2 linked regions of the Oryzias latipes genome follow. The protein of the gene in region 1 interacts with the protein of each later gene in a pairwise test. Links are inferred from orthologs where the notes say so. Each region holds a gene or a part of one and is shown in the gene's direction. Other genes may lie near its edges.

The links.
Region 2: the proteins of map3k5 (region 1) and lats2 come close enough for resonance energy transfer, tested with the Homo sapiens proteins (2 studies listed by BioGRID, with this or other methods). The link is inferred for Oryzias latipes from reciprocal best matches to the Homo sapiens genes MAP3K5 and LATS2.

The regions. Positions count from the first base shown.
Region 1 is NC_019882.2:18,743,482-18,749,763, reverse strand, and holds part of map3k5 (mitogen-activated protein kinase kinase kinase 5), read left to right. Parts: intron 1-2,055; coding exon 2,056-2,108; intron 2,109-3,130; coding exon 3,131-3,226; intron 3,227-6,282. UniProt on the Homo sapiens protein: Serine/threonine kinase which acts as an essential component of the MAP kinase signal transduction pathway. Plays an important role in the cascades of cellular responses evoked by changes in the environment.
Region 2 is NC_019879.2:11,531,672-11,537,953, reverse strand, and holds part of lats2 (serine/threonine-protein kinase LATS2), read left to right. Parts: intron 1-2,413; 5' UTR 2,414-2,753; coding exon 2,754-3,086; intron 3,087-6,282. UniProt on the Homo sapiens protein: Negative regulator of YAP1 in the Hippo signaling pathway that plays a pivotal role in organ size control and tumor suppression by restricting proliferation and promoting apoptosis.

The DNA.
Region 1 (6,282 bases):
TGCAACAATGTGTGAATGATGAAAGTTTAAGAAATGTCTGGACTAGTGAAGGTACACAAATGATGATCACATGATACTACAAGCGGGTTTATTTCTGTCTCCTTTGTACATAAAACTCCTTTCCTGCAGTGCTTCCCCCAAAATTCTGACGGAGCATTAAAAAGTTGACTGATCTTTTACACAAAATGTAAAAAAAATTATCCAAATGATTAATTACATGTGTTCTCAAAATAACTTTTTGCTTTTTTTGTTAAGCAAAAAACAACTTATAGTCCGTTTTTTATGTAGGAATGAATACTTTTGTTGAAAAAAGTTCTGCCTTTGTCCAGTTTCTTGTGAGTATTGTAAAATGTTTTTTTCTATAATGGTTTAGAATGCAAATTTGTCACAAAAAAAATCATTTGATTTTTAATTGAGTTTTGAATGAAGTTGAATGGTGAATTGAAATGGATTATCCATGACAGTTTTTGGTTGTGGTTCATGTTTGTGCGTGCACAATACACCTCAAGTTTAGTGGTTATTGTGAAACCCTAAAAGTAGGTCAAACTGCTCTACATTCGGCTAAAGAGACGCTCTCTGTGGAACCACAAAACACAGGTTTATCCCCTGAACGTCTAGACCACCTCAGTAATCAGTGCAGCTGTGGTTCAGGGTCTGCTCACATTAAGTATAGCGCAAACTGCGCTGGCGTTTGATGCTCACCATCAGTCGCCTGTAACTCAGACTGAGATGCACAACTGTGGAGCCATGTGATACAAATATTTTAACAGCAATAGTGTACATAAATTCCCTCTCCTCTACCTCCAGTCACTGACAGCAGCACCAGCTGGCTGGTGAGGAAACAAACCCAAAACTATCCTCACGGTTCAAAAAGTGTTTCATTGGTTCACAAGCCCTCTCTTCAAACAAAGAGTTGATATGTGGTCCAAAAGCTTTTTTAATATAGAAAGACAGAGAAAAAACGACTCTACTGTTAAAATAAGGAAATGCATTCTTAGATGTACATCATCACATGCCAGTAGGGCTGCACGATATGAGGAAGACCTGCGATATGTGATATTTGTGATCAATATTGTGATAACAAATAGCAAAACAACCCAAAAAAGCATTCCCATTTCATTCCAACAGTTTAAAAAGTATACCCCAAGTGACCCTCCTTGACACAGATGAACATCCAAGATAAAAGAGCTCCATCTGATTGGGTAACTGGAAGGTGTCCCTCTGATTGGTCAAATGGATAAATGGATTTATTTGATTTGTTAAATACTTCATAAGATTGTTTTAGCTCATTAAGGAAACCATTTATTGCAATTTTCTCCGTCTTTCACGATATGCATATTTCACAGCTTGATGTCGCGATGACGATAAATTTACGATATATTGTGCAGGCCTACATGCCAGTGGTGAGTCCGAGAGACAGGGACTTGGGACTTGGAATTGAGTCAGAATTAAGTCTCACATACAGAGACTTGACTTACAGTTTCATCTCAAGACTTGGGACTTGACTTGAAAATACGGCTAAAGATGCTGGACTTGACTAATAGTTAAAGCTAATAAATTGAGACTTGACTTGAAGTACCAGATAAAGACTTGAGACTTGACTGGAACTTATCACCAAAGACTCAAGACTTAAGTTGATTTCATCACCAAAGTTTTCAAATTTGACTTGAAAATAAATACGAAGACTTTGGAGTTGACTTGAAGTTGAAGAAAGAGACGTGTGAGCATTTCTGGTGTGTGCTGGTCTTAGGTTTTATGTTTTTTAAAGGTTTCCCTTTGTTCATTCTTTTCTTTGAGAATTGTCTTTTAAAGTCCTTCTAAAACCCAACAAGCTCAGGTTTACTGTCACATGGTAAGTTTTCACTTAAATTAAGTGAAAAAAGGAGAGAATATCCAACAAGAACTGGAGCTGGACAAACTGTTGATACTCTGATGGCAGATGTTTACTTCATTTAGATTAAAAATACCATCCAGTTGAGTCTGTTAAAAACTGTAACTTTGAATGGATATTACAAAAAATGTAAACGTGTTTTTTTTTTTTTATCTGTCCTACAGAACAAGGGGATCCACGAGTGGAACTTCAACGCCAAGTCTGTGCGGGGTGTCAGGTCAGGTCCAAACCCCATTAGACTGGTTGTCGGTTCCATTTCCTGTTGGCTCTCCTGGAGCTTGTGTGTTAGCAAAATGCATAAAACTTGAGACAAGTGGGGTGTCTCACTTCTTCTTCATTCTAAACATTTACACCAAATGTTCAATTAAAATGTTAATTAAAAAGAACAATAGAAAAGGAAAGTGGGAAGGAAAAACCATCCCAAAGTGACCGCTACTTTACTCATCAGTTAAACTCCTGGTCATTGCTGCAGCTTTAAGGGGAAGGCAAAAAGAGTCATTTGAGGTACTAAACATCAGCCTCAGCTCCTTCTTTTACATGTGGGTTGACATTTTTGCCAACTGCTATCTTCATGCCAGCTTCCTCATTAAAGAGAAAGATGGAGATAAACAGGCAGGAACATGAAGTGGGATTGTAATCCAATGCTCCTGTTTTAGAAACACTTCTTATCTCCTATATTTAACTCCAAGAGCTTGATTCTGTTGCTTTCTTTCTCGTCTTGACTTGTTTCAAGCAACTCTCCAGACTTTATCCCAACATTTACAGCAGGAACAGCTTGTTTTGTTGGCCGATATTAAGGACAATTTAAAGCATGGAGGTCGTTTTCCGTCGCCTCTCTTAACTGGACTAAATGAAAGACCACCACGGAAGAATTTTCTTCCCATATTTTTTTTCCCCTGCACGCCCCTCAAAGGAATTCAGTATCGGATCGGACGGGTTGTGCTTGCATGTTGCTAAGGAACGGCTCATTCCCTGAGCCCACTCAGCCTGCAGACAGTCAGCAGGACACAATAGCAGCTCTCTGAGCTGCAATGCCAACCAGAGCACACTGTGACACAAACTTCAATGTCTGGCTCAGCAAATTCTAAGATGGACAAAGCATCATCTCTCTGGACAAACACTTCATCTCACCAGTTGTTTGCTGAGCATATATCTTTTGGCGAAGCCTAGATTTAATAAAATATAAAATCATTCCTCATATAGAGAGAACATGAATAACTCTTGACTGTCTCTTCTCAGCATCTCCAAGTTTGACGAGCGCAGCGCCTTCCTCTATGTGCTCCACAATGCAGAGGACTTCCAGATCTATTTCTGCACAGAGATTCACTGCAAAAGGTCGGTCCGCCTATCATGGCTCCCGTTTCGGTTTAATCACAGGTAGTTCATTTCATCAGTCATTGCTAAGCGAGTCTCCTGCTGCACTGCAGTGGTCCCCTGTAGCTTTAAAACAAACACTTTAAGATACATCACTCACTGATCTAAAGATCGGTGCGTTGATCATGGCGCCATACCTGAGATTGTCAAATGTAGCTTCAACTACTATTTTATAATGCAGTTTAGCTTAAAAACATTTAAAACGACAAAGATTCTCAATTTTTTGTCATTTTTTTCCTCTGATGGTGATTCACATTGAAATTCAAAGGATTATCAGGTCTGTTGTTGCTTAAAGCCTTAGTCACCTGTATAGGTGCTGCAGGTTTCTGGATTCCAGGCCCATGGAGGGTTGTAGAAAACGTTCCATTGTCGTGCGTGTGGTAGATGTATCGTAAATATGTGGGAGTTGCACGCACTTTATGCCGTACGAATGATGCTGGCGTACAGTGTCCTTACGCCACACTCATTAGCAAGGTGCAAGAACTGACTTCTTACTGACCGCACGCAATTCTGCACACACAGGATATGCAGGTGATACGCAAGTACCCATAGGACGCCTGTAGCAGGTCAGCACAAACTACAATCTGATTATCTTATTTCCTCATTTCCAGTAGTAAAGTGGCTGGATGGCTCAGTCAGCTGGGTGTCACGCAGGAAGCCTGGGTTCTATCTGGGTCTCTCTGTGCCCTGAAAATACAGGGTTGTGTCAGGAAGGGCATCCGGCGTAAAAACTGTCTGCCAAACCACCTGTGGTGACCCCATGAACGTAACGTAAAAGTATCTCAATCTTTTTTTATTCACAGAGAGGGAACTTTCTAAAGAAAAAAAATCAGTTTATCAGAAGAGTTATTCTAACTTTACCAAGCTCTCTAAGTGCTGGACTCTGATTGGTTGTCTGCCCCCTCCTCTAACCCTCCCTCCCCCCTAGTTCCACAGATCAGTTTGACACAAGTTTTGCAGCAAGGAATATGTTTTGCGCCAGCAGATTCACGCAGAAGCACATTTGAGCAGTTGTACTCACAGATTTGACGTTGCAACTCTAAATGAACACATGCAAATGGGAATTTGTCAGTTCACAACAGAAGATTTTTACACACAGATGCAGATTTTTGGTGCACAAGTTTTCACATTTTATTTTACAAGTTCTCACATCAAATCTACAAGTTCATCCATTTAGAGACATTTTTACCTTCATAGCTTTTGTCACAAACAGGAGTTGTATGTGTGGATGGAATGGGATCATTCCTGGGGCTTTACATAACAATCATTTCAGACAAAACTCATCCTTCTAAGAGGAACAACCTGTAAAATAGATAACTGACAAAAAAAAATTTTACCCAATAGAAAGTGAAAATATCATTTTCAATTTTGGATCTGATTCTAACATTTTTGCATAAATCCTGCCGCTGCAAAAAACTCTTTCTGCAGGAACTTGAAGTCCTCTTGTCAGTTCTGAACCCTGGTGGGAAATTTCCCGTTCTTCCATCGGCAGCACACCTTGTTTCATTTCAACCCCATCATGTCCCCTGCCAGCTGCTCTTTGCAGCTCTGTGTTCCAACTTGTGACTCTCACATCTGAGGCTTCCAGTGTCATTATCTGGAGTGTGAGAGCCCAGTGACTCATGCCTGCTGTTGCGGTTACCGACGGTCCCTTTATCTCTGCTTCTGCAGGAAAAAAAGGTTTAAAGGACAGCAAGTGGAGGAAAGCTGCAGTTCTAAAAAATAAAAAAAAGGGACAAACAGCAATAGAAAGGATTGATTTGCATGTCTGCCTGCAGACATTGTGATTGGTTTGTGTTCACAATGACAGTGTGGTTGAACACCTGCAGGCGTCAAGTGTGACAGCATGATGAGTGCTATTTCACAGCTTGTGAGCAGCACAGACAGTAAATGTCATTGTATGAATGCATTGTGGAGGAGGAGTGCATGTAAACACACTGTTGCCCTATCAGGATAGGATCAGAGGCTACATGGCAACTCTCAATGACAATAAACTGAAAATTTAATTTTTTTAAATGTAAATTTTTAAGGACGTTTACTTGTCTTAGCTTTTTATATTTTTATTTATGGTAATATATGTTTATATATTTTCTAATGTATTGTTTTATTAGATAAACTTGATAAAACTTGAAAAGTATGAAATGCATAAAACAAATTTACACTGATTTGTATTCTTTTTTTGTTGTATACTTTTAGAAGGATTTTTAACAATATATACTTTATTCTTTTACTTACTGAATATTTGTATTAAATGGTATTATGAAATTATATTTGTATACATTAAACTCTTTTGCACATCAATTTCTATAATATGTAATATTTTTCAATTTTGTATTGTAATCGTTTTTACTTTTTTTTGCTAATCAAACCTTCTAAAATATGATTATTTTTTTTAATTAACAAAGTTTTTTAAATCTCTTTTAACATAATGTTATCATTATGCTATCAGGGTTACTACTTTTATATGTTTTTTTTATATATTTTTGTAAATTTTTATTTCTGTTCAATTTGTATTATTTATTCATTTATTTTAGCCAAAAATAACATGCCAACATTTCTTAATTATGTATTGGTATTTATGTATTTATAAATATTCATTTATTTTAATTTTAATTGCAACCTGGGCAAGAGGTAAGCAGCTCAAGTCACTAAGACAAAAGAGTTAAACAATGACAGAAAGACATTTAACAGGAAAGCAAGAAAATAAAATGGAACTTGTGCTTTAAAAATTGAAAGCAAGAGTAGAATAGTTAAGAAACAAGAGTAACAAATTGCAAACACAGGTACTGTTGAAAAGACTGTCATTGTTCTAGTTTCTTTAAAATGATGCAAAAAAGGCAAAGAGGAATAAACATAGATAGTTTCATCTCAGGTTGTAGGATGTTTCAGCCTCAAGAGAATTAAAAGCATGTTTCCAAAGTTGTTGTAAATACAGGAAACAAGCAAATGAAAAGTCACATGCCTTCTTGACCTTTGTAGGAGAAAACTTAAATAAGTTACAACAAGATCAAGAAGAG
Region 2 (6,282 bases), on another chromosome or scaffold:
GGAGCCAGTGCACACCAGAGACGGCTGCAACACTTCCACAGAGCATCCTTAACGTGTTTCTAAAAGGAATGAGACCTCTGTCAATGCTTGAAGAGGATGGATTTAAAGACATGATTGGGGTGCTGCACCCTGGCTTCCACCTTAATCACTTTTGGAAATGAATGGAGGGAAAACTATTGGAGAATATTTTACTGGTTACTAATTGCAATAGAGTGAAACCCATGATCATAAAAATCTTTTTTGCTTACTATTTCTACGGGAAGTTTAGAGAATGATTTAGTGCAGGGATCAGGAACCCTATAGCTTGCGAGCAAATTATTTTCTTTTTTTGTGCTAACACATAGCTTACCTGGGACTTTAAACCTTTTTATCTTTTATGAGGGGAAATTGAAAATCATGAACTATAAGAGTAAAATTGGAATTTTTTTGAATGCACCATATGCCGAGCATTAGCATTACTATATTTGATTCTAAACCTCCACGGACTGATTACCAGCACCAATAACCATCCCCTTTAAAAAACAAATTATAAAACAAAGGCCCATCACCGTATTTAAAAAAGGTAATCGTTGGCTAAGGGACTACTGAAATAATCATAAATGACAGCTCTAATAGAATGACTCCCAAAGTGACAAATAAGAATGATTTACTATATTGGGGCAGCAGTGGCTATGGTGATTGAACAGGTCAGCGGTTCGATCCCCCGATCCCTGCTTCCCCCAGTCAATTGTTGTTGCCCTTGGGAAAGACCTTTGACCTCCAGTGGGGCTCCACTGGTGTGTGAATGCGTATGAAAGTCTCAGCTGTGGCTACATCAGTAGTTACCATCACCAAGTATGAATGAGGAGTGAAAGAATAATGGAGACACATTGTGCTTTGAGCGTCTGGAAAAGCGCAGAAAAATCAAATCCAGCAATATTATCATTATTTTTATTTTCATCACTATTATTATATACGACTTATTAAATGTTTATCACGCCTTCTTTTATAAATATCTGTGCAATGAGTTAGAGGGTTTTTAGGGTTTATTTTAGGAAAATATTGACCTAAGTCTTTCGTTAATCTCTTTAAAAAACAAAAATAAAACATAGCTTTTTTTTCCTTAAACTATGTTGCTGTAAAGAAAAAGAGGTCAAGGTGTGTTGTGATGTTGCATTGTTGAAATTTGAAATATTTATTCTTCTTCATTAAAGTCCAACTCCAATCATCTTTTGATCTATTGTAACGCGTTCCCAGTGTTCTTCTAGTTATCATTATGCCGTTTTTTAACCTAAAAAACAAATCAAAACCTTTGTTGTTGTTTTTTTAGGACATAGTTTATGCAGAGAAGCAGTAGTTTATTAGAAATTTACCTGTGAGTTGTGGTTGAGACCTTTGGCAGAACAACCCCGCCCCCTTCCCCTCGTTGTTTCTCATATGGAAATGCACATAAAGTTACTCCACTTTTCCAGTTATTTTGTGCATCAGATAGAATGGAGATTTTTATACATTCAGATAGAGAGTTTGTCCACTTTGTCAGAAAGTTTTGAGCTGCTGTGGACGTTTTCATGCCACCAAATGCCTTTTAGCGTTTGAAACGAAAAAGGCTCTGAGTTTAATTCAGGTTTGCTTTTCTGAACCAGTTGAAAAACGGAAACTCAGTCATCACATGAGGACTTCTTTAGGGACTTTCAGGGGAAATGGCTGTGGAAACACTGAGTTTTTGTCATTTTTCTGAAAGCAGAAAAACTGAAAATGTGGAAAAATTGAAAGCACAAAAGACAATATCGCTGCAACTAATCTGAGTCACAGCAGCTGCGCTTTTATTTTTCCAACTGTCAGCATTAATCTAAATGAAGGCCTCACCTCGCTCCTCACGTGACGCCTCATTTAGGAACATGTATGCCACACGTCATCCTGTCTGCAATGCAGGAATAACGCCGCAGTGGCAGAATGTGGAGCATGTCCCCTCCCAGATAAGACAAGGGTTATATGTCCGGGAGCATCTCAGTCAGAGGGGCTTCATCGCTTGATGTGACCCCTTCCTCTTGGAGGCGTGTTCATGGATGACTGCGATGAAGTACTATGCAGTGAGAGCGGGTGGCTCAGTGGTGCAACTGCAGCTATGCATGGGGGGGGGGTTATGACCACTGGTATTCCTGAATTATGCAGAAGGTATGCCCCAGAGCTTATGCACTGCTGGTATGGAATTTGACTCCCAGGCCTGCAGGTAATAATAGTCTCCTAGGTTACAGTTTTGACATTTTGTGACCACTGGGAACATATTTGGAGTTCCAGGTCCTTCACCTTATGTTACAGAAGAAGGTTGGATCCCTTTTTATGTTCTTCCCCATTCTCACATTCAAGATGGAGACTTTGATGGAGAGTGCATAGCTGAAATCTTCATATTCTAACTCTGTGTTTTCCCTTACAGGCGCAGATGGGCACCGTCATGGTTTGGCTCCATAGTGCCCTCATGAGCAGCTCCACTTCCTGGAATAAGTTGGAACCCGAGCCTTGAAGTCACACCATGGAATGCTTGTAGTATTGTGCGTCCCTTTCGTCCACCCCACCAGCAACAGCAGGAATCAGAGACACCCAGTGTGACACAAACGACTGAGGGCCACAGGAACTGCTCCCAGAGGCTCTTTATCTATTTAGGTCAGATAGCTTGAGACGTTTTCGGGAGGGTGCAGGGGAGCTTGCTCTAGTTTCTGACTGACTGTGTGGGCTTTCCTTCTGAGAGTTAGTGCCCTGGCACAGGCTCTCAGACCATGAGACCCAAGACTTTCCCAGCAGCCCCGTATGTGGGCAACACGCGACAGAGGCTCCAGGAGATTAAGGAAGGCCTGAAGCAGCCGGCCAAGCTGGTGAGCCAAGCTCTGCATGGAGGAAGCTCCCGCTCTGAGAGAGGCTCCGACTCGAAAAGCGGGAAGGACACAACCAGTCGACAGCAGCAGCTCCGGCCGCCTCAGAAGTTCAACAACTACCAGAATGCACTCAGAGAAATCCGCAAGTCCCTCATGCCCTTCGCCAACGAGTCTGGAGAGGCCGGAGAGGTGAACCGACAGATGCTGCACGAGCTGGTCAACGCAGGATGTGATGAGGTGAAGATGAGTAGATTTGATCCTTGACCATTTAAGGGCTGATGTATGGACTCATTCAAGTAGTTTCAGCTTCTTCTTTAAGGTTATGCCTTAGTCACAACTGCCCTTACAGGTAGATAAGGGCTGTCTGCAGGGGAAAAATGGACACACCTGTATGGGGTTAACCCAAACAGCGAATGTTTGTGCACAGTTTTTCCTGCTGGTATGCTGCAGGCAACATGTCCTTTCAAACAACTGAACAACACTTAAGGGTTAGGTAGGTGAGACACAGCTGTGTGGTTTATACCACACACCTTTTGCTCATTTTTACAGGTTAATGCTGGTTTTAAGTCCCAGTCTGATCATCTTAAGCTCTATTTTCAGAGCGTTCCCAGTGGTCTTTTAATTATGATTATGCTGTTTTTAGCCGAAATCATAAACCTGTCGTTTACTAGGACATAGTTTCTGCAGAGCGGCAGGAATTTATTAGAATTTCACTTCGGAGTTGTGGGCGGGAACTGATGGCTGATGGCATGGAAGTAACTCTCTCCAATTATCCATTTGATCACACTCTCTCCTGCTAGCTTACAGCCCTCACAAGCCCAAACTAACACTAGCGGTGGAACAAAAATGGTGAACAATGTTAGAGCCAGTCGTACAGTTTTGATCCAGATTCCAGCTCAGCCGAGCAAAACAAAGACGTACATGGATCTATTTGTCTGTAAATGGATCCATCAGAAACAGTTTTTTTCAAATGGCAGGATTTGAATAAAGAAATAGTCAGAAATGTAGTCTTAATCTTAATTTTTTGCTATATACGTCTTTTATCATCAAAAAAGGCTACAAGAACATGTTATTAAAAACACCCAAAACAATTTTTTGTGTTTTTTTGAGCTCTTCAATGCAATTCAGTACAAGTGTGTGTGTCGCTCCCCCCCCAGTGAATGGTGAGCTGGTTGCATAACTGAGTGGTGTTGAAATCTTGAAATATCAGGTGGATTTCTCAACTGGCTTGCTTGGCATTTTTTCCTGTTATCCCCCTTGCAGAGTGGTGAATGTTTCCATGGGTCGCTTTCACGTAAAACTAAACGTTATTTGGATGTTGCTTCACCTTCAGCTTGGAGAATTAAATCAATTCCATGTGCAAACGTTTAGATTTGATTCCCTCCGATGCGTCTTTAGTTGGAAAAATCTACTTGCTCTGATTTTTGGGTCACATTTTTAAAAGTTCCTGCTGAATAGCCTTCTGTGTGTTTTCTTCCCATTATCTTCTTATTGGAAGCTGTTGAAATGTGCTTTGAAGAGAAGGCAGTGGGGCTCGCTTGAGGGGGCGATTAAAGCAACTGATTCAATCATGGACTGTGTTCACAAAATGCAGTTTGTCCAGTCAGGACCTGGTGTGTGTGGTTGAAAACCCCGTGACGAAGCGCGGTATGCCAAGAATGCCGCGCTCAAGCCTGTGCACATTAGGACGACAAAGCAGAGCAGCCAAATCGATTTTTAGCTCATCGCAGACAAAGAGCCACTGTTTGTCAAGTGTTTGCTGAAAGCAGGACCTTTGCTCTGTGTCATGTGTTGCACTGGAATTAATGTGTATTTGATTCTATTTTGTTCAGACTGTTCTTCTGTTTGCTCTTTTTCTTAATTACTTTTTTATGTCATTTAGGGGTGTCAATGATTAGTCAACTACTGTAAAAAGACGCTAATTTGGTATCGGTATTTTATCTTTTAGTCATTTGAAATGGTTATAATAACCACCAGCCACAAAGTAATTGGGATCGCAAAGCGCAACAGGAACTTTTGGAGGCAGTATAGCCCTTCCTCAACCATAGAAGAAGAGTTTCATGTTGCATTCACACTGGCCAGGTGAGATGCGTTCAAGAACGCGCTCTACACAGTTCACAACGCCTTAAATGGTCATGTGTTTTTTATGCAGAGCTAAAAACGGCTGTAGAAACTTGAATGGATGCAAGTTTTCAACATGGAATCCTGAGCCACCCTTCTTCGCGCCTTGAAAAAGCCTTTAGTTGGAAGGTGTTGCTTAATAGCATTTTGCCAACGGCACTGTGAACATCGCTTTACAGTTGACAAACTGCCTCCAAAGCATTCAACAAATTTCAAATCGGTTGTAGAAACTAACGATGCGTGAGCGCAAGAGTTTTGAACGCGGAATCCAGAAACACACATTTACATAACTTTTCATTGGAAGTGGTTGAACACGTGTTGCAGAAGACTGGGTGAACGTAGCTTTAGACTGACAAACCAGCCCAATTGGACTGGTCCAAGTTGACAGAACCTTCCAAAGCCTTTAAAAAAAAAAAAGGAGGGGCAGAAATCTGAAGGTGGATTACATGTTCTGAACTGTAAAGAGATTGTTGGAAGAAATGGAGCAGAGAGGCGTGATGTAAACCTTACTGTTGATCTTTACTCCTGTGGGTTACTGTTGTGGACATGTGGTGCTGGTGACAGAGATAAGCAACCTCCCCATTGAGATCATCTAACCCGTTTAGGTCACAGAGGCAGAAGGTGGAGGAACCTGTGGTTAATTCTCTGGATTTGGTTTGATTTGACATTTGAATCTCCTTGCTTTGGTTAAGGATAGCATCACTTCGAGTCCAGCCAAAGGGTGCTGGAGCCTGTCCCAGCTACTGTTGAGCGAAGGCGTGGTACAGATCGCCAGTCTGTTGCAGGGCACACAAGCACTCCCACACACACTCATAAATGCACACCTAGAGAGACTCTTAGATTCACCAATTAACCTATGAAGCCTGATTGTGGACTGTTAGGAAGCCAGAGTGTCTGGAGAAAACCCACTTAATGAAAGGAGAAGATGTTCACTTTGATGTTTCATGAAGGAGGTCTGCATTTGCAAACCATCATCAGTCATTCGTGTTCAAATATTCTGAAAGTAAGTACTTTACTTTTTTCATTCAAATGCAGTTTTTGACTGTGATTTAAAGTTTCTCTAAACAAACATAGACAAGTCAGACTTTCTTTGGAGCAGTGTGACTCGTGGTCATCAGTTTGATTTTGATCTGGAGCTTTTCTGTCACTATGTTTGCACATCATCCCATCGGCTGATTGAAATCAAGCATTTTCTTTTCTTTATTTATTTCTTTATTTATTTCTTCATTCTTTTTAGGACTGCCTCTCGTTTATCTTTCAAAACTGTGCAGGGGGTTGTGGACAACTCGCTCGGCCATTTCCTGTACTTGTA